7 linked regions of the Ovis aries genome follow. The protein of the gene in region 2 interacts with the protein of the main gene of each other region in a pairwise test. Links are inferred from orthologs where the notes say so. Each region holds a gene or a part of one and is shown on either strand. Other genes may lie near its edges. The genes, in order: ENKD1, CDR2, CHIC2, TRIM23, C1H1orf216, HDAC4 and SH2D4A.

Region 1 (4,848 bases), on a different chromosome or scaffold from region 2:
CTGCCCTTAGCAACCATGCTGTGACCTTCAGTAAGACCCAGTCACTGTCCCCATAAAAGGGCTCAGGAATCCATCTTCACAAAGACTTTGGGACGGGAAAAGATCTTGATGGCCTCCTCTACCTGCACCAGCTTCCGGTCCAGCTCAGCACGGTGGCTCTGGGCCCTCAGTGAATCCGCCCCCGCAGGCAGCAGCACCAGCTCGCGCAGCAGCTGGCTCTGGCCTACAGGGGCCCCAGGAACAGTAAATGCTGGGCAGGGGTGCATAGTACCTGGTGGGTTCCCCAGCCAGCTCCCCTTGCCCACGTACTCACTCTGGAGCAGACTGCTCAGTGTCTCCAGCCGCTGGTTCTCAGGCATGCGAGTGTGGCCAGGGGGCATGGCTGGGTCTGGTTGGCTGTGCTGACGGGCCTCAGCCTCCCGCCGCCACAGGTCCCTGCGCTCCAACAAGCTGTGATGCACAGACCCAGGGCTGATGACCCTAGGCAGACGTGGGCTTCCACCCTCCATAAGTGCCCCTTCCCAGGAGTGGGGGGAGCAGTAGGACCTACTAATGGGGCACGTGACCCTTCTGCGTGGCGTTGTAGTGCTCCTGGGCTTGCCGTTGCTGCTCCAGCACCTGTGCCAGGACTTGCAGCGAGCGAGAATGCCGCCGGGGGGCCCTCTTGGCAGTGCGGGCATTGTGCATAATGAAGTCCACACCCAGACCTGGGGCCTGCGGGACATGGCCAGCATGATGAAACAGCACTGTGTGGTGCCCCGGAATCCCTGCCCCACCTCCCAGCCCCCACATATCCTCTCACCTTAGCATTGGGACCTGGTAGGGTTAGCTGGGGACTGGGGACACGGGGTGGTGGGAGCCCGGGGCCGCAACGGGAATGGGCCCGCAGAAAGTGGGCTGGCTCAGTTCTAGAGGCAGGGCCGGGCTCCTGGAGGCCAAGGCAGAGCGGGGGGTGGTCAGTCAGGCTGAAGTCAGGGTCTCAAGCTGTAAGACCATGCCTCTGTCCCTCCTGTCTTTCAGGATCTTTCTCTATCACCAGTCCTCTGGACCTGGCCTCCTTCCTCTTGAATAAGTACTTCCATCACATCAGCATTTAAACCTGTGTGTTTTTCACATCTCTCAGAAAACATATTTCCCTCCCTCTACCTCAGTCCTGGCTTCAGTCATCGTTCTCTTTTTCTCTCCTTCCTAGTCAAGCTTTCTGGCTCTGTCCCTACCAAGGCCACCAACAGCTGGTCTCCAAGCCCCCAAATCCAGGGTCACTTCCCTGGTTTCACTATCCTCAGCCTCGTCCTCAATAGCTCCTGGGTCTCACTTCTGAGATCCAGACCTGATTCTCCATCTGCCTCTTGGACACATTCCCACTCCCTGGAAGCCCCACAAAAGCTTCAGCTTCAACACACCCACATATGACCTTGTCTTTTTTTCTGTCCTACTTCTCCTTCTCAGACCCCTGGAAAGAGAAGTGGCACCACTAGCTACCCCAGATAGAATCTTACCACCATACATACCCCTGCCCTTCCCATTGTCCTTAGAAATAAAGGTTTAAAAAAATGGATTTATGTGGCCCTTTATGATGTGGGTCCAGCTGACTTCTTAGCCTAACCTCATGTTCTTCCTCCCTCATAGTGAACTGAACACAGCATCCCCACTGCCCACACTCCTAAGTCCCTGGTGTTAGGACCAGGGACCCTGGAACCACAAGGTTCCATTTCTATAAAATGTTCTCCTCTATTCTCCCCTTGCCTAATTCCGACTTGCCCCTCAGAATCACCCAGCTGTCATCACTTCAGAGAAAGGCCACAGCCCCACTCTGCAGCAGGACCAGCTCTTCATCCCCTGTGACCTCAGCCCACTGTGGGTTTCCTCCCTCCTCATAACTCAAGTCAGAGTATAATGTCCTGTTGGCCAACAAGACGGGCAACACTTGGGGCTCCCTGAGGCAGGTACCTGCAGCTGAGCCTTGACACGCGACTCCACTTTGTCATACTTGGGTGAGCGCCACAGGGCCTTCAGGGGCCTGGATTGGGCCTGCTCCTGGCTGTGCTCCTGCTCACGGAAGCGCCTCTGGATTTCCCTGATCCGCCTCATGTTCTCCTTCTCATGGTCTTTAGGGTCCTTCCCTGGAGAAAAGATGTTGCCCTACATACAGCCCATACAATCCAACTTACCCCAGTGGACACACAAGCCCACACCCTGCCTCCCTGACATACTCTAAAGTCCACCACATAACCTTGTTCTCGTCCTCACACCATAATTATCTTCTGTTTCTGATGATTTTATACATATTTGATTATGAAGTATACTAGTAATCACCTTGCATATCCTATTCACCTCTTCACTTGTTTTACTGTCTCCCACCTTGATTCAATGATGCGCTTCTTCGACCTTGTTCTCCTAGCACCCATAGGGCCTGGAGCACAGCAGACACTCAACAACCAACCATGCATAAATCCATGAAGCTGAGCTACGGGCTTTTCCGGGGTATGCCTCATTTAGTCCTCTCCTGCGAAGAAGTCGTGCATTTCCCGCTCCTTCTACAGTTGGGGAAACAGACACTCTGAGAGGTAAAGCCTGAGCCCAGAGCAGGGAAGGGGAAGCAGCCGTCTTTTTATCTGTTTTGACTTCAGAGCCGCCTCGCTGTCCGTTCTGACCAGAACTTACTCTTGGGAGAGGCCCCTGGGCCTAGGGAGATACCCCCGAGCTGCAGCAGCACACCACCCACGCCGCGACGGCCACGCTCCAGGATTTCTAGGCCTCCCGGACGGATGCGAGGGGCGCGGGGAGGGGTGGCGTCTAGGTCCGGGTCCGTATCCGTCGTCAGCAGGTCCAACTTCGGCGCGTTTCCCTCAAGGCGCCCTTGGGCTGAGAGGCCAGACGGGGCAGAGTGCGGAGTCAGTGGTGGAGCTGGGCCCGACCCTTGCCAGGCCGCTTTCACTCCCTAACTCACCCGAAGACGGCCTCCGGTAGTAGTCCGGACAGAGCGTAGGGTCTGGGGGGATGGGCCCCGAGATGCGGGACGGACCCTCACACATACCGCCGCCGCCGTCCTGCAAACGTTGCACCTGAGGCCTGCCGGGCTACGCGTCTCTGGCTCCAAACCCGGCTTCTCAGCCCAGTGCCTCCTCCCTGGCCCCGGGTCCTAACCTCAGCCGTGCCCTGCCTGCGTTCCCGGCCCCCACCCCGCCTCCCGGCCCCGGCCTGCGCTCGCCACCTCTGCTCTCAGCCCACCTCTCAGTACCGTTGGCAGGCTTCTCACTCGGGCAAGGGGCTCACCAGAGCGGTTTTGCCGCCCACTGCCGCCACCCGACGGGTTTGCTGTTGCCAGGCAACAATGGTTTCCGTCCGTGAGGTCAGGGGCCAATGGCCTTGGCGCAAAGCCTTCTGGGGCCTGTAGTTCCAGCTGAGGGGGGAGCAGAACGACTGTCAGTTGCCCTTCCCAATCCGGTCCTCTCCCGGGTCCGCTCAGGGTCTACTAGTCTGGCCCCTCAGGATCCGCCCTCCATCCCCAATGCCCCTCAAGCAACCGTCGAGGAAGTGCTGATCCGCCGCAGCTATGGACTCCGCAGGGGCTGAGAAGCGGCCAGGGGCCCAAGAAGGGGCAGCCGTGGGGCAGTCACAGCTTACAGAGATGCCTGGTGGCCATGCTCAGAATTCTGAGGTGACCATCGGGCTGTCTAACCTTCAAACACTTGGGTCATAGCGCTTTAATAGACCAAAACTGCCAGGCCAGGTTCCACAGGCTGGGAGGGGCATGGGCTGGTGCCCTTCATCCAGAGTATTTAGAGTCTAATGGCTGGTCCCTGTATCCTTTACCTGGCCATGGTGACCAGTTACCTGTGTGTCACCGCTAGTGTCCAGTGATGGGAGACCAGGGCCTGGTGCCAGCCCATGAGGCCTGCCAAACCCAGGATGAAGATAAATGTCCAATAAGATCCACCTCAGAGCCAAAGATCCAGGAGAGACTCAAGCTGGAGGAAGACAGGCACAAACCAGAGGTGGAGGCCCTGGAGGAGAGAGGTCCCAGGCCTACGGCCTCCACTGTGAGGCCCAGTCATGGTCCGAAGAGGAAGCCGGTCAAGTGAGGGGGCTTTCAGAGGGAAGAGACTGGGAACTGGGGAGGTGGTGTGGGGGTGGCTCATACCCCAGTTGGATTCTTAAATGGGGCCTTACAGTAGTGTCCATCCTTATCCCCTGACACCACCATCATTCCTCACCTCTGCTGACCCTCCAGAGCCCTGATGTAGGGAACATGCAGAGCAAAAGTCTCAAGGCCTGGTAGGGGACTGAACTCCCATGATCTCTGGGTCCCTGTCCAGTCCAGGGCCTCACTGACCAGGAAAAGGACAAGGATCACGGCCTGGGGAGGTAGGCAGGCAGGACTGTTCCCTAGGACAGGGCACAGGAGCCAAGGCTGCAGGCTGGCTCCTCAGGCCTCCTTGTTCCCCAGCCTCACAGGCCCGAGCCACCAAGCCCATCCTAGGGCAGAGAGTGAGTTGCCACAGGGGCTGTCGCTGCAGAGGGAAGAGCCGGAGAATAATCAGAATGAGCCCTCACCATCTGCCAAACAGCACAAAAAGACCAAGAAGCGCAAGAGTCTGGGAACCCCAGTGCTCCCAGTGGTGGCCAGCACGGTGTCGGCACCCTCAGTGACCTTGGGGCCTGAGCGTGAGTGGCATTTCCTGAGCCTTCCCTTTTGTCCCAGCCAGCTGGACCCAACACAGCCCAGCTTGGCACTCCAGTCATTGCCCTGCCCTGGGTTCTTGTAGGAAAGGCCCAGCGCCTGCGGCCCCTGTACCAGTACATCAACTATTGCAACCCTGAACTGAACCAGGCAGGGGAGGGGGA
Region 2 (4,154 bases):
AGACTTCCATCATGACCTCCTTTTCTAAAGTAGAAAATCCTTTGTTCCTTATCACAAAACCTGGAGGTTTTTTTTTTCTTCTCTATCACATAGCACATCCAATTGATTAACAAATCCTTTTAGCTCTACTTTCAAAACACAGCCGGTATTTGCCACTTCTGCTCATCTCCAACTCTGCCGCTCTAGTCTAAGCCACCATGATCTCTCACCCAGGTGACTGCAGTATCCCTGTCATCCTGCCGCCACCTTAGTCTCTTTGGCCGACTTACCCAACGGCCAGAGTGGAGCTGATCAAAAGCCTTCCCTTTCACTCAGTGAAAACCAGCATCTTGATCTCTGTAGTTTGGCTTTAACAAGCTGGCCTGGAAGCCCTCTTTGTCTCCTCCTGCCCCAGCCACAAAATGCACGCAGACGCACGCGATGTGCTCAAGCCTCATTGGCTGCAGTCCTTATTATCGCCAGTCATGCTTCCTCCCAGGGTCTTTGCTCTTCTTTTCCCTCGGCCTCCAATGCTGGTCCCCTCAGTAGACCTACGTGAGGCACTTATTCAGTCCTTCACATCTGGAGTCTAATATCACCCTTGTTGCCTGTTCTTAAATTTCAGCCTCCCACGTCCATACTCCTCCTTCCCTCTTCCTTCCTTTTTTTTAAAAAAAAAAAAAACAACATTTTTTTGCTATCTAGTGTCTATTTTCTCATGCTGTTTCTCCCATGAGAGTATAAGCTCCATGAGGTCAGGGCGTTAGCTGAGTTCACTTGTATATCCCCAGAATGATGTTTGGTATTATTGAATATATGCATACATGTATGAATAGTGATTATCACAGTTTTCAAGTTTATTTACTTATTTGCTGTCTGACTTCCCCTGTAAACCTGGCAGTGTCAGGAAAGCAGGAACTTCATCCATTTATTCAGCATTCTAGCCAAATCTTAGCATGGTGTCTAGCAACAAAGCAGCAGTATAGTTTGTGTGGTAACTCAGTCATAGCTCACACTTTCGTTGTGCTATGGCAGTCAGCAACAAGGTCATTCACTTGTGAATCAATGAAGACTAATAACTTTGCCTGTGTACTGTTGCATAGTTTGTAAAGTACTTCCTTGTGTATTATTTCATTTGATTTTCACGATCGTATTGACAGGACAGTCATCTCTCTACACAAGAATACTACATGTAGGGATGTTTAAAGTCACTGTTTAAAGCGTTCACTTGGTAAACGGCAGCCAGAACTGAACTCCAAATTTTCCTACTCAGTTCAGTGCATTTTCCACTGTTATCAAAGGACCTCTCCAACTTACTATGCAGAAAAGTGTTTCAGGCACCTATGTTACAACTGTTGTCCTTTTTTGTATCAGTGAATTTTTGTTTCTGGGATTGTGTGTAACAAAACTAATGCTGTCATATATGCACATACGCCTAAGAAGAGAGAGTGTTGAAAAGCGAGGTTTAAAATGGAAATATGGTTCTGTGTTAAATGAAAGTCTGAGCTATGAGTGAGTTACCACACAAACTGTTCTGCTGCTTTGCTTATCTGGTTTGCTCATCTTGAAGAAGGCATGAAAATAAATAGAAAAAATGAGAGAGGCCTGCGGTAGTGTTCTTATCACTGATGTCATTTTCCTTTTTTTGGCTTAAGTTTTAGTACGCTGAGAAGGCCAGGGTCTGTAACACACTTGCTTTGACAGTTGTATTCATGGCAGCCAAACTCGTGGGACTTCAGGTTTGCCTGCACTTTGACAACTAATTATGAACTTAGATTCTGTCACAATGCTGAATGATCATTCCTAAACAAATGCATACACCTCCATAAAGTACATCACTATTCTTGACATCTTGTCAGTAAGGGTACCTCAAGAGTACAGTACCTGGTAAAAGGCCCCATTGTCACTGAACTTTAAGTAGAATCTGGGTTTCCTTCTGAGCCATTCCATCTTCCACTGGGATCTAAGGTAAACTTTGTACATGGGTTGGGTTTCAGTCCGTTCCTACTCTAAGCCCTGGCTTATGTAAAATGTTGAGATGAGATCGTTTGCACTCCCCTAATAGGATTTCTTGTTGTGCTAGACCTCCAACTTGCAGCTGAGCTTGGGAAGACATTGCTGGATCGAAACACAGAGTTGGAGGATTCTCTTCAGCAGATGTACACAACCAATCAGGAGCAGTTACAGGAAATCGAGGTAATTTACTCAACGGGAGAGTTACTTTTGCGGTATTGGCTGTCTCTGCTCTTATACCAATTGTATTCTACTTAAGTAACGCTTGCAATTAAAAGTAATGTTTATAACATAGACTTTTTAAGTATAAAGAACCATGGAAAGTGTATAGAGGTTGATTTTTACTGTCTTTAAGCTTTCTCAGTACATAAATCTGCTATGATGAAAGACATTTCTCTCTACCCCCTTGGTGAAGTCTACTTAGAAGTAAATGGTCCAGTATTTACCAATATGTGAAGCAAAGTAAAGCTGTGAATATTACATTTAGTTTTTTTTTTTCTTTTAAAAATGAATTATGTAATATTTAAGATTTGCAAAGAGGTACAAGAGAAAAATATAGTGGGTAGCCTTGTACCCACCAACCAGACTGAGAAAGAAAACTGTCTGTTGAGACTCCCTCTGTAAACCCTGCTTGGCTGCATCCCCTCCCCTTAACCAAACACCATCCTAAATTTGATGAAAAATTTTAAAATTGTAGTACCTGATATGAAAGATGTAAGCTCAAGGCTTTAAAATGGAAGTGCTGTCTTGTAAATGGTCCCATTAATGTAGCCCAACTATGTGTAGGCCAGGTGACTGTAAAGATGATAGTTATGGATATTAACCAAACAATTGTCCATCAGAACATTTCATGCCCCAGACTACCCTCCCACCTTAAAAAAGTCTTGCACTTAAATTGTAGCTCCTTCCTCTCAAATTGATACAGTAGAACCAGGACTCTTATAAGTCTCTGTGCAGGAAAACGTAGAAGACCTTAGAACGCAGAACCCATTCATCATGGTCAGAACTTACTAGGCTCTGATTGCACACTGAACCAGGTGCTAGAAAGGCAGAGTAGATGACATAGTCCTTGACTTCAGTCGAAATTACAGATTTCCGTTTTTGAATACAAATAAACCTGTCATTAAAACTAAGACAAATTTATCATTTCTGTATTCTTACTTTTACATAGTGATCATAATTAAGACGCATACAGTAGATTCCCCTCCCCCATCTCAGGGTTTATGGATTTAGCCAGTGATGTGACAAAAAATGCTTTTATAATTCTAGAAAGGTGTGCCTTGTAATGATATTGAAGTCGTCAGCTATCATTTTAAGTATATTCTATATCAGAAGAGCATAGAACTTCCCATACCTAAAGTTGAGTTTATCACTCATAGAATTGGGCAGAAACCTAAAAATGCAGGAAAACCAGGCATTTTAAAACTGTGATATCCAAGTGTCTTACATGATCAAGAAACTCATTCCTGTTTTGTTTTGTGGGCTTTGTTTTTCAACTGATTGGAAGGTTTCATAGCGTGATCCCAGGGCATATACCTGAAGATTATCATGTACTGTGTGGTACGTTTATTTGAATAGTCTTCATACCTTGTATTGGTGTTTTCCATGAAAGCACCTACAAATCACCATAACTGAATACTGTAGTGAATACTTATTTTAGCACATCTGCCAAATACAGATTTAAAAAGTCCAAGTATTTGTATAATTAGAGAATGATGCCTATTTGTTACTGTAAGGATTACAAACACAATTGCTTTATGATCTAAGTTACCTGTCTTTCTACTTTTGTTTTCCGTGGTATTGAAAATGATTAAACAATTAAAAGAGATCATTGACATTCTGAAAAAAATCCAAAGATCTTTGAGATTATCCAAATCTATAAATAACACTCCACTATCTAATGTCTTCTGTAAGATTTTTTTTCCTTAAAAATTGTTTGTATTCAGGCTTTCACACAGAGGTGGTACCATGGCCCCAGCAGTCACCTCTCCCCACCCCCTGACTCTTATAAGATATTGAAAAGGATAATAGAAATGAAGTATCCAGGTCAGACCTTAATGATTGAGTAAATATACAATCAACTATATGTATTAATATAAAGCTAATTGAGTAACTTTAGCCTGGAGTACTTCCAGAAACATTTCCATAGATCTCTTGTTTCT
Region 3 (4,154 bases), on a different chromosome or scaffold from region 2:
TCTGTGGTGTGTATTTAGCATGTTCCACATGCTAGAAGGTAATATGGTAACTAGATTACAGTAGATACCTTAAATAGATATTAAACATTTTATTATGTAACATTAGAGTATTCAAAATCAGCTTGGTCATAACAATTTTTCACCTCACTCATCCTTGCTTGATAGTCACATTTTCATATTTGATGATTAGTACTTACTTAGTTGTGCCACATTAATGGAGCTGGATGCTTTTTTCCTTTCCTTGCAAGGAAGCTGCAGCTGCAGCAAGTTGCATTTTCTTCTTGTGGCAACACTGTCCTGTTTGCACCTGCAGCTGTGTCAGTCTCATCCTAACACCTGGCACCATGAATTATCCTCCTCTTTATTCCTCCCCAAGCAAGAAACATTTCATGCTGCATAGTGTACACTGCAAAAATCAAGTGACCTTCTGTATAAATTTCTTAGTTGATACCTTTAACAGTAGTATTGAATAAAGTTTGATTTTCAAATGAAACCAATTTTATTTGAAAACCAACAAAAATGATTGGATTAAATGCAGTTTTGCCTGTGAAAATCTTTGTAAAATAATAAATAAGCTTAGTTTTAAAATTTGGACATTATTTTTAAGTATGATATAAAAATTAGTTTGATTTGATATAGATTGATATTTTTTATTAACTTTTAATCATTTCCTTTTTAAATTTAGACTAAAGACCCTTTTCATTTTGTTAATGTATAAATAGCTTTGTTTTAAAATATGTATTAAGGTATTCTTATTACTACTAAATATTACGGAAATATTTTTGAAAGAAATGGGGATTTAAATTTGTATTTTTTAGTGGATAACATTAGCTTTTTAGACTTAAATAAATCAGAGACTAGTAAGTATGAAACAGTTAAAAAATACAATGCCCCAAACCATATCTTTATCAAAACAGAGTCCTATTTCTGTTCAGGCTACTATTTAGTGCTAGAATGTTGCTAGTGTTATAGACCACTCTATACTCAGTCACTGTCTTATATCTCTTTCCTTTTCACACAAAAAACAGCTGCAAAACCACGTTTTTCTAAAACCAGTCAGGAGTAAACTTTTTTCTCATTTGTCTTCTAGACACGAAGATCGATTGAGAAGTTATTAGAATGGGAAAACAATAGGTTATACCACAAGGTGAGTACCACGGGGAGCAGCTTCGTACTGTTGAGGTCTGAACTGCACAGTATGGAAACAGATGCTTTTGTTGAACTAAAAATATGAAAGATGGACAAATGGGTTAGTCTGTGTGCTGCAATAAAATAGAGCTCATTTTTCTTCTTTTACTCTCCTACTTGTCTAGCTGTGCTTGCACTGGAGACTGAGCAAAAGGAAATGTGAAACGAATAACATGATGGAATATGTAAGTTAAAGGGCTGTTTTGTGAGTTTCTCTATTAAATGATCATTTATTTTGCTTCTGATCTTATTCTTTCCATGATTATTAATCAGCAAAGGTGTCAGAAGCTTAATCTCCTGAGTGCAAGGATTTTTTACGGTTCACAGATGCATGGTTTCATGTGCAAGACTGATTTATAAAGTTATGAATGACTTGAAAACAAGGCTTCACTGTGTTCTGAAAAATAATAAATTAATTGCCAAGATAAAATAGGCTGAACATGTGTTGATGGAGTGTGAAATTTTAGATGCTGTATAAAGAATAACCACAACTTTGGTTACGCAGCAAGTCAGATATGGCTTTTTTATATAATGCTAATCAGGTTTCCAAGTATGGAAGAAAACCTTTCAGCCAAGCCACTGGAGCTTAAGAAACCTTTAGCCTTTATAGATTTTAACTGCCCATACCTCAGTGGCCTTTAAAGAATCTTTCAAAGTGTTGTTGGGATATTATTCTGTAAAAAGTATCTTAAAAGTAAACAGGAGATAAGATGTTGCTCACCCAGTAATTTATTCTTTAAAAGATATCTAATGGGTATGTGTATACAGTCAGTTTTAGAGCTTAGAATGGGATTTAATTTACCAGCTACTTGCTTTACTTGAAAATTTTTTCTCAGTTTGAAAAGTTCAGAATACTATAGAAAAAGTGTGAATTTTTATTCTCCCTTGAGCCTGGATGTTTTGTGTTAAGTATGAAAAGATTAATATATGAAAAGAAGAAGAACTGAGCATGGGGTTGAGTATCTAGCACATCATTTCTGACAAATTTTGTCTATTCTTTGACACAGAATAGCCATCATAGGTAGCATGTGTGTGTGTGTATGTGTGTATAAAAGATTAATGAAAACAGTGCCTGGATACTGGAAATAGTTGGAAATTATCATAAAATCATTTTTCTCTGTAGCATTTTCTCTTTCTTTCATTATCACACAATCAAATCCCATTTCTAGCCGTGAACATAAAAGATGTCTTTAAAATGTCTCTTTTTTCATAGAATAGCTCTATTCAGTGAACTAAATAATGTAGATTTTATCATTATCTATTATATCAAACATGTTAATTTATGATGGTAAAAAGGCACTTGATACTTTTGTATAATAATAAAAGCACATTCGAATAACTTGTTTTGAGATTGACCTATGAAAATACTAGGCTTGTATTTTCATCATAGATGAAAACTCACTGGTGAGAGAGTTTATGTATTTTGTGAGAAGAAATGGATATATAAGTGATTTAAAGGATTTTGTGAAAAAATATTTGCTATATTTATAAACCCAAACACTCAGCTTATTAATAAAATAGAAGCTTTTATTTATTTATTTAGCACACTTCTAAATTTACTTTGGAAAGCAAAGCATAAAAGTATTCCCAATACTATTATTTCCAGATAGAACTGTAAGATCATTCATAAAATATGCTCATTCTCTTTAATGTTTATATTTATGATGTTGTAGTATTAATTAATTGGCAACCCACTCCAGTATTCTTGCCTAGAGAATCCCAGGGATGGGGGAGCCTGGTGGGCTGCTGTCTGTGGGGTCACACAGAGTCGGACATGACTGAAGCGACTTAGCAGCAGCAGCAGCAGTATTAATTAAAATAATGTAACCTTCCAAAACATTCTGAACTTATATGCTCTGTAAAATATGTGCTCTTATTGCTCTGTTAAATTGTCATTAATTTTTAGATAAACAACTTTTGTACTAAAGCCATTATATTTTCTTACCATCATAGAAAATATCTAGAAGAGTAGTTTTTTAAAAACTTAAAAATTACTTTAAAATGTATTTTTCTTCAGTTTTCTTGGAGTGTGTATGCGTGTGTGTATGTGTATTTATGACAGTTGAGTGGAGGAAAAACATAATTTTAAAAACTCCCTACAAATAGTTTTGCAAAGTTAAAATAGAAATAATCTGTATATCTGTATGACTTCAAATTTTCTTTAATTTACAGAAATTTCATTTGTTAGCTAAAGGGAAATATTTCTCCTTGACTATGTTTTGAATATTGGAGTAAATTTATGAAATAGACCAAATTTTCTTTTATTCAGATATGGCAGAAGAAATGAGACAAATGGTTAACTTCTGTGTATGGCTTCTGAAGGGAAAAAGTTTGTAGGATATATTCTTTTAAAACTAGTAATAATTCAGATAGTCAAAGATATCTTTTACTATTCATTGTGCAATATAGACTGGAAAATATAATTTAGTCATCAAATTTTAGAGCTAGAAAGAAATCTTGCCATCTCTCCAATCCTTTCATTTTATAGGTGAGGACACTGAAAAACAGAGGATTCTAGCTCAAATAAAGAAGCTGGGTAGGAAGCTAGTGAACATTTTGTAGGCAAATAATAGGTCAGGAGAGTAACACAGGGGCACCAAATGATGAGTCAGCTAGGGGAGGAGTATATTGGAGCCATGTATAGAAATACCTTCTTTTTTGAGGCAGGTCAAAAATCAGGAGAACTAAAGAGTGAAAATGAAGATTTGTGGCTCAGATGACTAAATGTAGAAAAGTACCCAAACATAGAGGTCATATCAAGACAGTTTCTAAAAAGACTGAGGAGTTCCTCAAACTGGAAAGTGTTTAAATTGAATAATTTTTTGTTTAGCATCCATTCCGTACAGAGTTGAAACAAGGGGGAAAATTGATTATAATTTAAGACAGTTCCAAGTTTGGAATAAAAATTAGCTCTGGTCAACCTGTGTCTTTCTGTGTTAACTGTGTTTTGTTTTTTGATTGATTTC
Region 4 (4,810 bases), on a different chromosome or scaffold from region 2:
TAAATTTTGGGTAATAACTGCCAACAAATGGTGGTGGTGATGCCTCATCCTCCCCAAAATAGAATTTATTTTTGCTTTGAGGGAAATCATGTTTGATTAATGAATTTTTCCATTCCATGTCACAAATTTACCATAATCAGACCTCAAAAACATACATTGCCATATGTCTATTTTAAAGCATGTTTTAAACTATTAGCAAGATACTAATACTTACTCATTAGTTCTTTTCATTTATTACTCTTTATAGGGAAAAGTATAGCTATTTTCTTCCTTATTACCTCCTTGCAAATTGAGAAGTATCTCAGTGTTACATAAAAAGTCTTTCTTTTAGCAATGTTAGCTCAGGATATAACGAGGTTTCCCAAGGCCTTTTCTGAAAACAGCTATTTAAAATATGATATTCTGTGTGAAACAAGTTAAATTTAAAATTTTTAAAGCAATTATTTCACTTTAGTCAGTGTAGAATTTTAGCTCTCCTTTAAAAAACACTACAGTTTTAATATACATTTAAATGTGACTTAAGTTGCAAATAAAAAATAACATTTCTAAATTTTTAATAAACGATCTCAATTTGACATTCAATCCCTATCCCATTTTGTTTTGTTTCTCTTAACCACAGCACAAATATGACTTTAGTTGGTTACTAGCAATACTGCTATATAGATGATTCAGGATGATTCAAGAATTTTTAGAAAGATGATAGGATTTCTTTAAAGTGATCTTAACATTTTATTGCTATCCATACTGATGATTTGTATAATGTAAATAATGGCTTGTGGTGATTATAAAGCATTCCAGAATTATAGACCAAGACTATACACTTGAAAAACCTGCTTGACATAAACTATACAATAGTATTTAGCTTAATACAGAAATTCAGTGCCAGGAGGCAAATCCAAATAGACTGTATTTAAAACCTCTGAAGTTTGACATTTCCCAGAGGGAACTAGCGCAGTCTTGCTAATAATTAGTGAAAGTACAACCAGAGATAAAAATAAGAGCCTGAAAAAAATTCTTGAAAAAATAATAAATACTACTACTAGATACATTATAATCAGGTCTAAGCACAATTTTTAAATTGTGTTGTAGAAATATGCTAGGAATGTGATTTAAAAGTCAAGCAAAACAGGTAAAATAAATTTACAGAAAAAAGCAAGTTTACACATTAGTGTTAGACTGTTTTTGAATTACCTAGTAGACAAAACAGTTCAAGGGATCACAGGCAAATGTAATACTTTTATTTTTCACAGTTACTGCAATCAAATATTAATTTAATTCAGAAGTATTATATGCACAAACTACACTTGTAACAGCATGACCTTTTACTTGAAAAATAAAGGATGAAATATTACATTTACTTATTTACACACTGCCCATAACTGACAGACTTTTAATGCTTTGTTTTCTAAAAGTTTTGTTGTTTTTAAACGAATTATATTTGAAGAGACTGAACCAAAACAGTGCTACCCAGAAGTCACATCTTGTCATCAGCCATCATAAGGATTTAACTTCATCCTAAAGTATGTGATCAGTCATGCCTGACTCTTTGTGACCCCATGGACAGTAGCCCACCAGGCTCCTCTGTCCATGGGATTCTCCAGGCAAGAACACTGGAGTGGGCTGCCATTCCCATCTCCAGGGGATCTTCCCAACCCAGGGACTGAACCCGTGTCTCCTACGATGGCATGTAGATTCTTTATGAAAGAGCCCCCTGGGAAGCACTTCATCTAAAGTATACAGAGCATTTTAAAAAAAAACAACCTATAAAACCGAATCTAGGTATTTTTAAATATAAAATTAGACTGCCATAAGGGAGTTTCCTTAAAAAATGAAAAACAGTAAAGAGCGCACACTTTTTTTACTCACAACCCTGTAATAAATGTGATACAAATTTGTTACACATTTCTTCTTTTCCTTTTGTAGACATGTTTCTCTCAAAAAACCTCTTAAGGCCTTGTCATGAAAATCCTTGATCACATTTTATTGTTTAAATAAATGCACTTATTTTGGGAAAACATTTTAAGGTAATCATTTCTACTGCTTAAATAACTTCTCTTGAGGTAGAGATAATTTCTACTTAGATCTCTACCTTTTATGTAAGACCAACACTGGCTTCTGTATGTAACTTACTACATTTTACCTATAGTCATTCTCCTTAAAGATGCAATATTATTTTTAAAATAATAAAAAGTACTACTAGGTACTTTATATTGAAAAATAGAAGGACGAATTTAGAACTCTGACCTTGGAAATAATATATCCAGGTTCAGCTCTGCAAATCAGTCTTTTCACAAGTGAAGATCAACTAGAATATAACTGACTTTCACAGTTTTTTATTAATTGTTCTTCAGTGTAGTACTAATCTGATATCAGGCCTAGTAGGATTACATTTCAGTCTAACTCATTGGGTTTTATACAAAAGGCTTTAAGAGAGCTTTAATAAAATACTGTATAAAATATTAATCTTCTATAGCTTATAGTTCTTAGCATTAAAGATGTTCTGTTATACTGAACATTAAAGTAATCCTATTATCCAAAGATGCAGTTTGGATTTTATTTCATTAAGTCATTGCCTTTTTTGCTACCGAATACTGCCAAAATCCAGTGAAAAGGCAAGTTAAGAAGCCATGCTTCACTTCATACAGAGGTTCAACAGAACCTCTGGTTCACTAGACACTTGGTTGGCTATTCTTCCTTGAGTGAATAAACCTTCACCTGCTCTTTCACTGTGACTACTTACTTCCCAATGCTGGACTGAATACTAATGGATCCCAGTTTTTCATAACAGTAGTACCAACAGTAAGTAGAATGTGCATGTGTGTGTGCTAAATAATCTGTGTGTACACGTGTAATCTGAAAAACTTAACAAATGTATGTTTAAAAAAAATGTATACCCAGTAAATCCCTGTTCAATCCAATTTAATCTGCTCAATCAGCTATTTAAATTTTACTAGTTTTTAAAAGTAATATTGTACTGAATTCCCAATCCAAGACTCCTTTTATATTAATATATACATTGTAAATTAACTTTCAGATGTAGAATTTCTTACATCATATTATGTGCAAAATAACTCTTAACCACAAAACTTTAAACAACTGCTACATTTAAAATCAGGCAACGTCCAACACTCCAGCAGCCACAAGTTGGCGTGAGAGCCAGTCCAATCCTTCATACAGTCCCATACCACTTCGAGCATCACAGCCCTGAATATACCAGCTTCGGCCACAGCACAATTTATGGAGACTAAGAAGCTCAGTGATTTCTTCTACTGACAGAGCTCCAGCAACATCCTAAAAGATATATACACATTAAAAAATTTTTGCATAAGTCTATGAAAATTAGCATTTTTGTAATTATTGCTATATACAATTCTGCTGGTATCATTTGAAAGTGAAAGTGAAGTCGCTCAGTCATGTCCAACTCTTTGCGACCCCATGGACAGAGAAGCCATGGGATTTTCTAGGCAAGAGTACTGGAGTGGGTTGCCATTTCCTTCTCCAGGGAATCTTCCCCACCCAGGGATCAAACCCAGGTCTCCCGCATTGTAGACAGATGCTTTACCATCTGAGCCACCAGGGAAGTCCCTGGTATCATTTTAACAGAAGCCTAAATTCAACTTTCAATAATCATTCAGAGATTAATGAGAATAGAAAAAGAATTGTTTTGGTAATAACAGTTTGTAAGAACAGTCTTTTAAAAAAAAATATGTGGCTGCATCAGCTCATAGGATCATCATTGTGTCATGTGGGATCCTTCGTTGTAGCACATGGACTCTAGTCCTGGCACACAGTTTTAGCTGCTCCACAGCATGAGGGATCTTAGTTTCCCAACCAGGGATCGAACCAGCATCCCCTGCACTGCAAGCCAGATTCTTAACCACTGGACCACCAGGCAATAGTCTTGCAATGAAATCAATGAAGGCTCTGCCCCTGAATAAAAAATACTGCCCATCTCACTATAAGGCATCTACTTAAAAGGAAATTAATACACATGTATCGTAAGAAATGGCTCTTACGTAGGGTTTATAAAGAGTTTATTAAACTCACCCAAGGAATTCTCTGACAGTCCAGTGGTTAGGACTCAATGCTTTCACCGCCGGGGACCCAGGTTCAGTCCCTAGTCAGGGAACTAAGATCCTGCAAGCTGTGCAGCATGGCCAACAACAACAAAAAACTCTCCAAACAGCACTGAATACCCTTCTTCCCAGAAGCAACCAACAGTAACAATTGCTTTCATATTTTTCCAGAAAACTTCCACGCACACTCATGTAAATGAACAGTACACACCCTAGGTTTTTTTTTTTTAACACATATATTGAAAAATAAAGATACATTTCCATTATCAGAACAAGCAGAAAAAACTTTCCACCAGTATTTTTAACTTCTATATTGCATTCCACTGTAGGTGTAACATCAGAGAGGGCAATGGCACCCCACTTCAGTACTCTTGCCTGGAAAATCCCATGGACGGAGGAGCCTGGTAGGCTGCAGTCCATGGGATCGCTAACAGTCGGGCACGACTGAGCGACTTCACTTTCATGCATTGGAGAAGGAAATGGCAACCCACTCCAGTTTCTTGCCTGGAGAATCCCAGGGACGGCAGAGCCTGGTGGGCTGCCGTCTATGGGGTCGCACAGAGTCGGACATGACTGAAGCGACTTAGTAGCCGCAGCAGCAACAGGTGTAACATAATTTTCTTAACCAGTCTTATACTGAATATTTAAATTGAAAATATGTGCTTATGTGCTATTACATATACATACACATGGATGTAAACATATTTTTAAATACATACACTTGCAAAATTATC
Region 5 (4,723 bases), on a different chromosome or scaffold from region 2:
CAAATGATCTGTACTTGTTTGTGCATAACCACACACATGTCTGCAAATATATACAGAAACCCTTGCACCCCTGTACAGAGACACCCTTAGTCTTGGTCCTGGCGCCTGGATGGTACTGCCCTCTGTTGGAGACAGCGGATAAGCTCCTTCCGGTTATCTAGAATGGTGTCAAAGCTCTCCTGCAGACGGGCCTGCTGGTCGACCAACTGGTGCTGCAGGCCCCGGATCCACTGGAGCAGGGCCAGGCGGCGGTACATCACCAAGTGCGCGTGGTGCTTCTCCTTCTCCTGCTCTTTGTAGCGCTCCTGAGCCTGCAGCTGCTGCACGGCCTGGGCCACCGAGGGCAGAAGGTGGCCTGGAGGGCCAGGAGGCGTCCCACAGGCAGACTCAGGGCTGCGGCTAGGGCTGTCAACGCTCAGGGAGCTGCTGGCATAGCCATTGTCCTCCAGCGGGGAGCAGACTGTGCTGGCACCACCCGTCTTCTCAGACCCAGCTCCAGGAATCTCTGCCCCCTCCGGTGGGCTGCGGATCTCCCCCTCAGGGAGTCCAGGAGCCTGGAAATCCTGGTTGTCAGAGGGCAACTCGGAGGAGCTCCTCAATAGTACGGGCTCCACTTGGCCTGGCAGCCCGTGCCAATTCTCATTGGCGTCCTTGGCACTCATGAAGTTGGAGTTGCTGTCTGGTTGAAGTTCGGGTGGACATACTCCAGGAGGCGGGCCCCCCAGGAACTGACCCCCCTCAGCTACCCCTGGCTGGATGGCGAACATCTGGTCTGTAAGGGGGAAGCAGAAGAATGAGTCAGAGCAGGCGAGGGTAGGGCGCCTGAAGTCGAGAGAACCTAGCAACAGACACCCCTTTGCCTTGACTCTGCTAACACCTCCCTTGGTGGCTGTCCTCTTCCCTCTCTGCCGATTCTCAGTCTCCTCACAGGGTTCTCCCTCGGCCCTGAGGCAAGCTGTCCTCTCCTTGTAGGCACTTCTCCCCAGATGACCTCATCTTCTGCTGGAGGTTCGAGAACTTCCATGTGTTGGTGGCTCTCGGATCTGACAGGGAGTCAGATCCAACTGCTGCTGAATTCTGCAACCAACCACAGGCTCCTCAGAGTCTGCACGGCCTGCCCTGCTCCCTGTTCAGTGTCCTTAGCCAAGCAGGCCCACTCTCCTGTCACAGCAACCGGAAACTGCAGGCATTCACACGTGCACGCTCGTGTGCAAACATCTCCCCTTTCTCTTGGTGTGGGCCACCTCTAAACTGGATTACTGACTGCTATGACTTTTCACTGACCTCTCTGCCTCTAATTTAAAATGTAAATTTGTCATGGCTCCTGCCCTAACCTCCTGCTAAACCTCTTCCTGGCCTAAGAGGCTGTGTTTCTTCTGGCTCCTGCTCACTGCTTCAGACCTGTCTCTTACCACTCTCAGCCCCTCCCACCATCCCAAACTGCTCAGAGATCTCAGAACACACCATTATTCTCCTTCCACAATCCCCTTGGCCCAACATATACTTCCTCTCCCCTTCCCTCCCAGCTCTTCCCTTTTCCACCGGCAGATTCTTTTTCATACACTAAGTGAAGTGAAAGCCGGCCCTATGGACTATACAGTCCACAGAATTCTCCAGGCCAGAATACTGGAGTGGGCAGCCTTTCCCTTCTTCAGGGGATCTTCCCAGCCCAGGGATGGAACCCAGGTCTCCCGCACTGCAGGCAGATTCTTTACAGAGCAGAGCCACAGGGAAGTCTTTGTATGCTAAGATTCGGCTCTAAAATCCCCACCTTCCTGAAACCATCCTGACGTTCTCCCCGCTGCTCCTGTATCCTGTATACACAAACACACAGCCAACTGTGCCTTCCTCTGGGTCCTCACTGCTTGGATACATGCAGTCTTATGCCTGTTCGTTTCTTGTCCCTGGCACATAGTTGATGGTCAGTAAATGTCTATAAACTTTCCTCTATCTTGTCATAGCAGCCTCCTGGCCCCACTACTGGACATGGAATTCCTCTCTATAACCTCTACCATGTTCAGGACCCAGCACAGAACCTGGCACTGAGCAGGTGGCAGTACCTCCTTGCTGAGTGAGTGAATAGGGCAGTTGGATCCGGGCTGCTGACAGCTCAGGGCTGGGAGAGCTGGGTTGGGTTCCCTCCACTGCCCAGTGAGGAAGCCCTTCTCCCACTGACAAGCCTCTCTTCTGGCTTCACCCCTTCCTTCCATGTTTATTACTATCCCGGGTCCCTGCCTCTATCTTGCTCCATCCTGAGGCCATGGAGAGAGGACACACCACATTATTCTTTCCTTCCCAATAACCGACTTCTCCCCAGATCTGAATTTAAATTGACAAGAAGTTTCTCCTGACTGTAAATTACTAGGATTAGAAAAACGGAATCAGTAAGAGTAAGGGGGAGTGTCAGTGAATGTGGCAGGGCCCCTCCCCACATCCAGCACAGTACTGGCAAGAAGTCCTGGGGGCAACGGTGTAGGGACAGTCCCTTGGAAACCTACAGACTCCATCCCGCTAAGCGAGGTGCCAGGAGATGGTCCCGCCCAAATGTTTTCTTTTTTTCTAAACTTGGGCGGGGCCGTGAAGCAAGCTGGAAGGAGGTGGGGGCGGTGCTAAAGATCAAGGGGTTCTCAGGGAAGGTAAAATGGGAGCCGAGAGACCCTGGCATCAGGCTTCTCGCCAAGCTAATCCGCAATTTGTCGGGGGTGGGTGCGGTGGGGCGGGGATGGTGAAGGTGGGAGGTGGGGGGGCTGGGGGGTGGTGGTAGGGATGAGCGAAGGCGGCTTCCGTTCCTGCCTAGACTTGCGGGAAAGGGATACCATCCCCAGGAGACAGAGGATCCAGACCATCCTTCCCTAATCCTCCCCCCAACCCCCCCGACCAGCAAAAAGCAGCTGGGCAGAGGCAACGACCCCCGCCCCTTGCGGCTGGGGTCTAAACCCTCCCGCTCCGGCCCCGACTCACGGCCTGGAGGCGCCGCCCCGCCCGGCTGGCTCCGGTGGCTCGGTCCCCGCGGCAGGAACTGCTCCCTCGGGGCTGGGGAGGTGGTCCCTCGGCCTGGGCGTCCCCGCGGGTCGGGGCGTGGGGTGCGGGTTCCCGGGCGCTGCGCCCAGCCCAGGCCTGGACTGCGGAGTCGGGCGGCGTCAGCGCGGCGGGGCGGGGCGGCCTGGCCCACGTGGGCCGGTTCGGTTTTCTGCGAAGCCGCTCGCAGGTCCGAGCGCCGGAACCTCCTCCCCCGCCTCCGGCAGCCTGGACTGAGACTTGCAGGTCCTGTTTAATTTCTTAACTGCATTCACTGTGTCTCCCCGATCGGTTTGCCTCACAGTGACATTTTCAGAATGAAAATCTGATCGTGTCATCACCACCCTCCAGCCTAAAAGCCATCAGTGGCTTCCGCATTACCGCTTAAATCCTTAAGGCAAGCCGCAGTGGGGCTCAGCATCTTGCTCTCCGGCTTCAGCCTTTGCCCTTGGGTTCTGCAGCTGAGCAGCCTCGCGCTCCTTTCTGCCGCACTGTTCCCTCTGCTTAAAATTCTCTCTCCTCTCAAATCTCAGATCTCTTCTCAGGTAAACCTTCTCTGACCTCCTAAGCAGACAGTTCCCCTTATTATATTATCCCAAGGCTTTTTTTTTTTTTTTCCACAATTTGAAATTATATGTTCGTTTTGTGCTTATTTCATTAAAGTCACTTAATTAACAGAATAATTGCCGACTCTAATGATAAAACCAAAAAGCACTGGCTGCCCTCAGGGAGAGGCAGCCCCGGAAAGACGTCTGTGACAAATTTAGCCTTTAGGGCAAGTGAGCTTCCAGGAGGTCCCTTCCATACCCACAGCTTTACTGAGTAAACCCAGCAATTTGCTTATACCTTTCTCATGCTACCCCCTCCATGCCACCAATTAAATATGATTCATCTTTCAATCATAATACGTTTAAAAACCCTGGAAAGGCAGAGGAACCAGAGATCAAATTGCCAGCATTCACTGGATCATAGAGAAAGCAAAGGAATTCCAGAAAAACATCTACTTCTGTTTCATTGACTATGCTAAAGCCTTTGACTGTGTGGATCATAACAAACTGTGGAAAGCTCTTAAAGAGACCGGAACACCAGACGTCTTAAGTGTCTCCTGAGAAACCTTTATGTGGGTCAAGAAGTGACAGTTAGAACCCTGTATGGAACAACTGATTGACTCAAGATGGAGAAATCAGCACAGCAGGGCTGTCTGCTGTCATTCTGTTTAATTTATATACTGAGCACATCATGGGAAATGCCAGGCTGGATGAGTTATGAGCTGGAATCAAGATAGGTGGGAGAAATATCAACAACTCAGATATACAGATGATACCACTCTAATGGCAGAAAGTGATGAGGTACTGAGGAGACTCTGGATGACGGTAAAGGAGGAGAGAGAAAGAGCCGGCTTAAAACTAAATATTAAAAAAACTAAGATCATGGCATCCAGCCCCATTACTTCATGACAAATAGAAGGGGAAAATGTGGAAGTAGTGACAGATTTCCTCTTCTTGGGCTCTAACGTCGCTATGGATGGTGACTGCAGCCATGAAATCAGAAGATGATTGCTTCTTGGCAGCAATGCTATGGCAAACCTAGACAGTGTGTTGGAAAGCAGAGACATTACTCTACCAACAAAGATTCGAATAGTCAAGGCTGTGGTCTTCCTGGTGGTCTTGTATGGTTCTGAGAGCTGGACCATAAAGAAGGCAGA
Region 6 (4,154 bases), on a different chromosome or scaffold from region 2:
GAAAAAATTCATACAAAATCAACAGCAAATTGATATCCTTTGCTATAAAAACTTATCAGGTACACATGTGCATGGAGGCTTGGAGTGGGGAGGGGTCAGGTCAGAAAATAATTAAGATGAAGGTACAATCTTGCAGGGCAGGTGTCCCATGGCGAACCTGTGATTGAAAGCTCTCCAATCTGGAGTTCAGAAATAACATGAGCTTCAAACTAGATCCCTTTCCACAAGCACCTTGAGAGCTGAGTCACAAGCCGTTCATTCGCCAGGGACCTTTACAATCTGCATTTATTTTATATATATATACTTTTTCTATAAATGCATTATAAATATTTTATCAAGATTTCATAAGAATCAAGTTTCTTAGCTTGGAATACATTGGAATATATATTATACATATATATATTTATTTATACCTAAAATTTTAAGCAATACTTCATGCTACTTGCTTTTAATAAAAAGCATTCCGATCGTAACACTGAAAGTGTGCCTAGGACATGCTTCACAACCAAATGGAGATGCTCAATTGTTATATGATGTACGAGAAAAAGAACACTTTGGATTCATTTAAAATTTGTTGGACTTCGAAACCCCCAACAGTATTTGCCACTATTTTGGAACTACCTCCATTTTTCTTCAACAGCAATAAAGCGAAACAGGGTGGCAGGACCTCAGCCCTCCAGAGCTGCTGGCCGAGGCGGGGACCACTTGTGAAGCGCCAGGCCAGTGCGAGCCGGCCTCCGGCCCCACCGGCCACAGGGAGCGGTCCCACCGACTCCTGCTGTTTATTTTTCTTAAGGCATTGTTCCTCGGACTTCGGAAAACCCAGCCACAAAAATCCATCAGAGCAATAAAAAAAAAAGGCACAAACGCGCATCTTCCGTCGGCTTTGAGAAACCAAAGCCGCACGGGCTCACATTTCTGCTTTTGTCCAGTTTTTTTTTTTTCCTTAAACGCTCGCCCGCTCCGTGTCCCAGCCCCACCGCGCACCCGCGGTGCGCAGGGGCAGGCCAGCGCCGGAGCGGCTGACTCTTCTCTGAAAAGAAATAAGCTACAGAATGAGTTGAGTGGTTTACACGGAGACTGTGGGATTGTGGGGAATCACCAAACCGTAAGCACCAGTTTTAATCAAGTTTGTTTTGTGTCGTGAGATCTTTGATTTTCATTTTCTTTTCCTCGGGTCGGCTCGCTCGGCAGGCGGCTCTGCCCCGAGCCCCCGCGGGCTCCCTCCCTCCGCGGCTGCCCTGCGGGGCCCGGAGCGCCCGCTCCCGCACGTCCGTGTGTCGGCGCGTCCCGACGTCTGCCCGGGTCCGGCAGGCAGAGGGCCGCCGGCTGCGGCTCGCCCCGCCGCGCCCGCGGGCTCGGAGGAGGCCGGCAGGACGCAGGGCGGCAGCAACTTTTCTCGGCGGAGCTTCAAGACGGAGACAGACAAACAAGAGACCCGCAGCTGCGGGAGCGGCTACAGAGGCGGCTCCTCTTCCATGGGCTCCTCGTCGGGTCTGCTGGGGCGGGCGGGCGGGCGGGGTGGCAACAGAGGAGAGGGTGGATGTGCAAGGTTCCTAGCTATCTCTGCCCCCCAACTCCGAGGCATCCCCGCCCCCAACCCCGAGCCACCTCCACCCCCATCTCCTAGCTACCCCGCCCCGACTCCTAGCCACCCCCGCCCCCTCAACTCTCAGCGACCCCCACTCTTCCCCTAGGGAAGTGTTCCTTCTGGCCCAGACGCCCTTCAAGTCTTTCTCAGGCTCTTGCTTCTGGGAAGAGGTGTGGTGCAGTCTGCCCTGGGGCGAGGGTGAGGCCCTGCTGAGCTCACCCACTCCCCGCCCTGCTGAGCTAGCACGTGCCCCCAATACACCCGGGAGCAAAGACCCGGGTCACCCGCAGATGGCGGCAGCACCCACCGCCGGCCAGTGTCCGTGCTCACCTCTTCTCAGGGGCCTTCACGGCCACAGACAGCGAGGCCATGGCAGTGACAGTCTCGGCTTCCTCGTTCTCACACTTCTGGGCCTCGACCAGGGAGTAGCCAGCGGTGGAGGCGAGCCTCTGCAGGGAGCGCCAGTACTGGCCTGCGGAAGGGGCGGGTGACTGCTCAGATACGGGACCCCATCCCTGTGCTTGGGCCCACGGGGCTCCAGCAGCACCCATCGCTGGTGACTCCAAAGCACCACGCTCTCCAGAGACAGAAGCCACGAGGTGGCCTGGTTAGAAACTCACAGAGGGTGGCAGTCTGGAAAAGCTTCCCCGTGACCAGGAGAACTGGGCCCTTCAGGGGCAGGACACCTGGGTGGGGGTGGGCTCCAGGGAGGGTCCCTCCCTCAGGGTGGGGCGGCTGGGACGAGCACTCCCTGACTCCCTGCTGGAGTCCCGAGATGATGGGGGTGGGAGCAGGCAGCCTCCCGGTGTCTCCTGGGCCTCAGGGCTCCTCATTCAGGAGGCCAGGAGCTCAGTGCACAGCAGGAGACCCTGGGTCCCGCCCATGGACACGGACACTGGCGACTGGGCCACCCCGCAGACCCAGGATAAAGGCGGGGCAGAAGTCCGTGTGCAGCCCCTGGGCTCCTGGGCCCCATCGCTCGAGGGGCAGGGCTGGTCTTTGGGCCAAGGGTACCCTGAACTGATGGAGTGGGGTTTGCTGGTCCAAGGGCAGAGGCCAGACCCGAGGACACAGGCTTCCATGCGGGTCCCAGCCTGTCAGTGGGGAGCCTGGAGAAGGGACCTCACACACCCCCTGAACCACAGCGCTTCTGCCCCACAAAGCAGAGCTGGTGACTTGGCTGTGGCAGGTTGTTGGGACGTCAAGCGGGGTGAGAGGAGAGTCACCAGCTCATCACATTCGCCCTGAAAGCCAGGTCTCAACAGGCGGGCCTGGGGACGCTGCTGGCAGTGAGAGAGAAGCAGGGGGTGGGGGCGGTATGGGGGGTGGGAGAAGGGCTGTGGAGTCGGGCCCCTCCCTTGGGGGGGGTCTCCTTGCTGAGCCCTGGGCCAGGCAACTTACTGTGGATTTCAATGACCTTCTCCATCGACCGCACGGCGTTGGCGTTGGGTCTCTGCTGTAAGACCTTTTCTGGGAGAGGATCGAGCTGGGGATGAAAGAAGAATACACGGTGAGTTCGAGGCCATCAGTAGAGTCCCTGTGCATGTTTGGATGGGACGTCTGGATCATAGAATCCCCGTGCGTGTTCAGATGGGACGTCCGGATCATAGAATCCCCGTGCGTGTTCAGATGGGACGTCCAGATCAGTGTCTTCCTCACGTGCACGTGCTAACAGAGAAGACAGCTTGAAAAAGCCAGAGGTGGTTGTGGCATTACATAAATGTTTTCACAGAAGTAAACTTATTTTCCTTAAGGTGTTTCCCCTAGGAGGCTCTCGGGTACGTTCGTGGGTGCCCGTGTGGGCAGGACACTAGCTGGTGTCCAGAGGCAGCTGGCGCAGAGGGGTGGCAGCATGGGCTCCACCGCTGGATGCACGGCACAGCGTCAGGGGAAGGGATGATGACTTTTCGGAAACATCAGTTTCATCACACTTGTCAACAAGGGTTTTATAGACAGGGCTTGAATATCCCCACTTTGGGCCTCCCTGGTGGCTCAGCGGTAAAGAATCCGCCTGCCAAGCAGCAGATGTGGGTTTGATCCCTGGGTCAGGAAGATCCCTTGAAGGAGGAAATGGCAACCCAGTCCAGTATTCTTGCCTGGGAAATCCCATGGACAGAGAGGCCTGGCGGGTTATGGTCCAGGGCGTCACAAAGAGTCAGACACAACTGAGCGACAAGCACATCTGCCCTTCAGGGTTTTCTTCCAATGATCAGAGAAAAGGTAGACAGAGGGTGTGAGCATCTCTGCTCCGAGCTCTCCCTGAAGTCCCTGCCGCAGGTGGAGTGGGGAGGCGCACACGGCCCACCTGCCTGACGGCCACAGGGCACGCCGGGTGTCTGCCACAGAGCCGCCCAGCACGCGGGCTAAACCGATCACAAAGTACTTGCTCCTCACAAGTGCACTGCAGCCAGCGTTCCCCATGTTTATTTGCAGTACAGGCAGCCCCCGCTCCAGGGCCCGGCCGAATTCCCTGTCGCCCCTGACTGAGGGCTCGCGGCCCTCACTCTGCCTCCTTCTTGACTTTCACTGACGTGGCATCGTTGTTACTGTCTCCTGGAGTTCC
Region 7 (3,243 bases), on a different chromosome or scaffold from region 2:
GTGCATTCTCTGCCCCAGTGGGTTCTCCCTGATGAGGAGGGACCAGGTTCAGTGATAAAGGAGGTGCAATTAACAATCCTTGTTATCGGGAAGGTTACCCACATGGCTCAGCGGTTAAAAGAATTCGCCTGCTAATGCAGGAGGTGGAGGAGATGTGGGTTTGCTCCCTGGGTCGGGAAGATCCCCTGGAAGAAGAAATGTCAACCCACTCCAGTATTCTTGCCCGGAGAATCCCCATGGACAGAGGAGCCCGGCAGGCTACAGTCCGTGGTGTCACAGAGAGTCGGACACAATTGAGCATGAGCACTATTATCGGGAGGAGTTACAGAAGCGGGGGGCTGATCTCCCCTGCTCGTCTCAGCTGTCTTCCGTGGAACCGCCTTTCACTGTCAGAGCAGCTGCAGGACACCCGTCACCGAGCGAGCGACGTGTGCACGGGGCCGCACCTTGTGGTACTCCACCAGCTCGGCCAGGCTGGCGTGCTGCAGCTGGTCCACGCCCAGGAAGCTGTATGAGTCCAAGGAGGCATCTATGAGGAAGTGCTTGCAGCCGTCCTCAGACTGGTAGGACAGGGCGTAGCCCTTGACCTTCTCGTTGACCCGGATCAGAAAGCTGCCCGGCACGCAGGTGCTCAGAAGCTCGTTCGCTCTGTTTACGGTGAGGATTCCTGTGGGAAAGAAGGGCAGGGGTTTCAGCCACATCATTTCCAGAGCTTCCCTCTGCTAAACACAGCCGTGTGGATAAAGCCAGTAAGAACCTGAGCAGCCCTAAGTCCACACTGGGTTTCCTTGGAGCAGTACTGTGGTTCGTCATCTGGTATTTGGTACCTGGGATGGGGTTGCTGCTAAGTCACTTCAGTCGTGTCCGACTCTGTGCAACCCCATAGACGGCAGCCCACCAGGCTCCCCCGTCCCTGGGATTCTCCAGGCAAGAACACTGGAGTGGGTTGCCATTTCCTTCTCCAACGCATGAAAGTGAAAAGTGAAAGTGAAATCGCTCAGTCGTGTCCGACCCTCAGTGACTCCATGGACTACAGCCTTCCAGGCTCCTCCATCCATGGGATTGTCCAAGCAAGAGTACTGGAGTCGGGTGCCATTGCCTTCTCTGGGATGGGGTAGGTTCCATAAGCAAATGTGTAGTACAAATGGAGGGCTTCCCAGGGTGGTGCTAGAGGTAAAGAACCCGCCTGCCAATGCAGGAAGCATAAGAAACCTGGGTTTGATCCCTGGGTGGGGAAGATTCCCTGGAGGAGGGCATGGCAACCCGCTCCAATATTCTTGCCTGGAGAATCCCCATGGAAAGAGGAGCCTGGCGGGCTACAGTCTATAGCATCACAAAGAGTTGGGCCCCGCTGAAGCGACTTGCCGCGTATGCAGTACGAATGGAACGCTCGCCCCTCAGAACACGTCTCCACCCAGTGACAAGCATGGGCGTCATGTGGCTTCTGAGGGGTAGGACCGTTGACAGTCATCCTGGGAGGGTGAGCTCTCCCAAGTTGACTGATGGGGACCCTGGGGCCTGGGGATGATCCTACAAGATCTGCAGTGGGAGTTCTCACTGGAGCGATGTCTGGAAACGTCTCAGACACCGGGGCTGGGGGGTGGGGGTGGCTCTAGTCTTCTCCAGTGCATGGAGGCAGGGATGCTGCCAAACCTCCCACTGCTCACAGAACAGCCTCACTATAGACAGTGATCCAGTGCCAAAGGCTGACAGTGCCGAAGGCGGGCACCCTGGTCAGGGGTCAGCGAGTTAGTGACAGTGTCCTTTGCTGTGACTACTCCTAAATGAGGCTTCATTTAACGGAATGACGCAAGAGATGCAGGCATGCGCACACACGCGTGTATATGTGCTGTACTTAGTCGCTCAGTCATGTCCGACTCTTTGCGACACCATGGACTGTAGCCCGCAGGCTCCTCTGCTCATGGGATTCTCCAGGCAAGAACCCCGGAGTGGGTTGCCATGCCCTCCTCCAGGGGATCTTCCCAACCCAGCGATCGAACTCAGATTCCTGCCTTGCGGGTGGATTCTTTACTGTCTGAGCCACCAGGGAAGCCCAAGAGTACTGGAGTGGGTAGCCTATCTCTTCTCCAGCAGATCTTCCCGACCCAGAAGTTGAACTGAGGTCTCCTGCATTGCAGGCGGATCCTTTACCAGATGAGCCACCAGGGAAGCCCCATGTGTGTATATGCGTACTATCTGTGTCTTCACAGATGCTCAAAAGGATGCCACTCTTCAAACACACACACACACACGTGTTATGCTACACACGCATAGTTTGGATGCCTCATGAATTCACAGGAATTCAAGACCAGCCTTCCCCAATTAGTCCACACTGATTGCTCAGGTCTGACCCATGCTCCCGGTTCCCCTGCTTGCTCCTCCTCATCTGTAATTCCTCAGGTGAGCCCACGACGTGATAAGACAGAGAGGAAGTGTGCAGATACGTGCTGGCAGGATGGTCAGCTGCTCTGAGCTCTGGCCAGAGGGCAACGTTTCCTGCGTCAGCAGATGGAACCTCCTGCCTCTTCCATGCTGACATTCGGTATTACGATTAGAGAGAAACCCAAAGGCCTCCTGGTGAGAAGGCAATGGATTATCACAGCTCTTCAGTCTGACAAGACTAAAGTTAGTAAAGTTAATTGAGAATTAAACCTAAGGATCCAGTGTAAAACGTCAAATGAAACCATTTGTGTTCTTTTCTGTAAGCAGACCTTTGAGAAGGGAGGATTAGAGATCATCCGCTCCCCGGGCCTCGTCTCCCCCGCTGGGCCTGAACCCGCACGTCTGGGTGTGGGGGCTCAGCTCCAGGGCGACGCGGGGCAATAGCAGGGCCTGCGGCCAGCCCCTCATGGACAGGAAACGCGCCTGCGAGGAAAGAAGCAGGCGGCCGCTCCTCTGGCATCCAGGCTCTGCCAGGACCCCGTCCCGCAGGCCGCTGAGTCCAGTCGCCTTCCTGCCCTTTCCTGATGAGACTGAGGTGCTGGACACAGCAGGCGCTGTGACTGAGGAGCCCCTGGGGTCGCTGCCGGGTGTCCATGTCAGGCGCCCAACTAATACCCACGTGAGCATCCCCGCGGCAACTGCTCCTTCCTGCCCGTTTCACCTTCTACACACCCGGTCCCACTGCGGGCATTGGAGGCTGAACCCAGGCCACCAGTGACCAGCCTGCCCAGGGCCTGCAGGGGCTGCGATGTGAAGACTCTGGGTCTGACGCTCTCTGAAACCCAGGGGATTGCTCAGTGA

What was found.
Region 1: the proteins of CDR2 (region 2) and ENKD1 interact in binary tests that used the Homo sapiens proteins (3 or more experiments, as listed by UniProt). The two-hybrid records come from large-scale screens. The link is inferred for Ovis aries from reciprocal best matches to the Homo sapiens genes CDR2 and ENKD1.
Region 3: the proteins of CDR2 (region 2) and CHIC2 interact in binary tests that used the Homo sapiens proteins (3 or more experiments, as listed by UniProt). The link is inferred for Ovis aries from reciprocal best matches to the Homo sapiens genes CDR2 and CHIC2.
Region 4: the proteins of CDR2 (region 2) and TRIM23 interact in binary tests that used the Homo sapiens proteins (3 or more experiments, as listed by UniProt). The two-hybrid records come from large-scale screens. The link is inferred for Ovis aries from reciprocal best matches to the Homo sapiens genes CDR2 and TRIM23.
Region 5: the proteins of CDR2 (region 2) and C1H1orf216 interact in binary tests that used the Homo sapiens proteins (3 or more experiments, as listed by UniProt). The two-hybrid records come from large-scale screens. The link is inferred for Ovis aries from reciprocal best matches to the Homo sapiens genes CDR2 and C1orf216.
Region 6: the proteins of CDR2 (region 2) and HDAC4 interact in binary tests that used the Homo sapiens proteins (3 or more experiments, as listed by UniProt). The two-hybrid records come from large-scale screens. The link is inferred for Ovis aries from reciprocal best matches to the Homo sapiens genes CDR2 and HDAC4.
Region 7: the proteins of CDR2 (region 2) and SH2D4A interact in binary tests that used the Homo sapiens proteins (3 or more experiments, as listed by UniProt). The two-hybrid records come from large-scale screens. The link is inferred for Ovis aries from reciprocal best matches to the Homo sapiens genes CDR2 and SH2D4A.

The regions. Positions count from the first base shown.
Region 1 is NC_056067.1:34,774,997-34,779,844, forward strand, and holds the start of ENKD1 (enkurin domain-containing protein 1), read right to left. Parts: upstream 3,337-4,848; 5' UTR 3,277-3,336; exon of another isoform or gene 3,232-3,276; intron 3,051-3,231; 5' UTR 3,036-3,050; coding exon 2,951-3,035; intron 2,866-2,950; coding exon 2,665-2,865; intron 2,124-2,664; coding exon 1,951-2,123; intron 929-1,950; coding exon 803-928; intron 715-802; coding exon 551-714; intron 451-550; coding exon 314-450; coding exon of another isoform or gene 310-313; intron 224-309; coding exon 63-223; 3' UTR 1-62. Other genes in the region: C14H16orf86 (uncharacterized protein C16orf86 homolog), read left to right, coding at 3,557-3,661, 3,855-4,081, 4,421-4,668, 4,770-4,848. UniProt on the Homo sapiens protein: Microtubule-binding protein which regulates microtubule organization and stability. Promotes the stability of astral microtubules and facilitates the proper orientation of the mitotic spindle.
Region 2 is NC_056077.1:20,572,013-20,576,166, reverse strand, and holds part of CDR2 (cerebellar degeneration-related protein 2), read left to right. Parts: intron 1-2,062; coding exon 2,063-2,175; intron 2,176-4,154.
Region 3 is NC_056059.1:70,246,275-70,250,428, reverse strand, and holds part of CHIC2 (cysteine-rich hydrophobic domain-containing protein 2), read left to right. Parts: intron 1-1,090; coding exon 1,091-1,147; intron 1,148-1,313; coding exon 1,314-1,373; intron 1,374-4,154.
Region 4 is NC_056069.1:14,081,239-14,086,048, reverse strand, and holds the end of TRIM23 (E3 ubiquitin-protein ligase TRIM23), read right to left. Parts: intron 3,292-4,810; coding exon 3,112-3,291; 3' UTR 706-3,111; downstream 1-705.
Region 5 is NC_056054.1:10,673,768-10,678,490, forward strand, and holds the start of C1H1orf216 (UPF0500 protein C1orf216 homolog), read right to left. Parts: upstream 3,125-4,723; 5' UTR 2,962-3,124; intron 773-2,961; 5' UTR 768-772; coding exon 87-767; 3' UTR 1-86.
Region 6 is NC_056054.1:2,403,579-2,407,732, reverse strand, and holds part of HDAC4 (histone deacetylase 4), read right to left. Parts: intron 3,078-4,154; coding exon 2,993-3,077; intron 2,064-2,992; coding exon 1,922-2,063; intron 1,500-1,921; coding exon 1,457-1,499; 3' UTR 1-1,456. UniProt on the Homo sapiens protein: Responsible for the deacetylation of lysine residues on the N-terminal part of the core histones (H2A, H2B, H3 and H4).
Region 7 is NC_056079.1:37,575,826-37,579,068, forward strand, and holds part of SH2D4A (SH2 domain-containing protein 4A), read right to left. Parts: intron 668-3,243; coding exon 447-667; intron 1-446. UniProt on the Homo sapiens protein: Inhibits estrogen-induced cell proliferation by competing with PLCG for binding to ESR1, blocking the effect of estrogen on PLCG and repressing estrogen-induced proliferation. May play a role in T-cell development and function.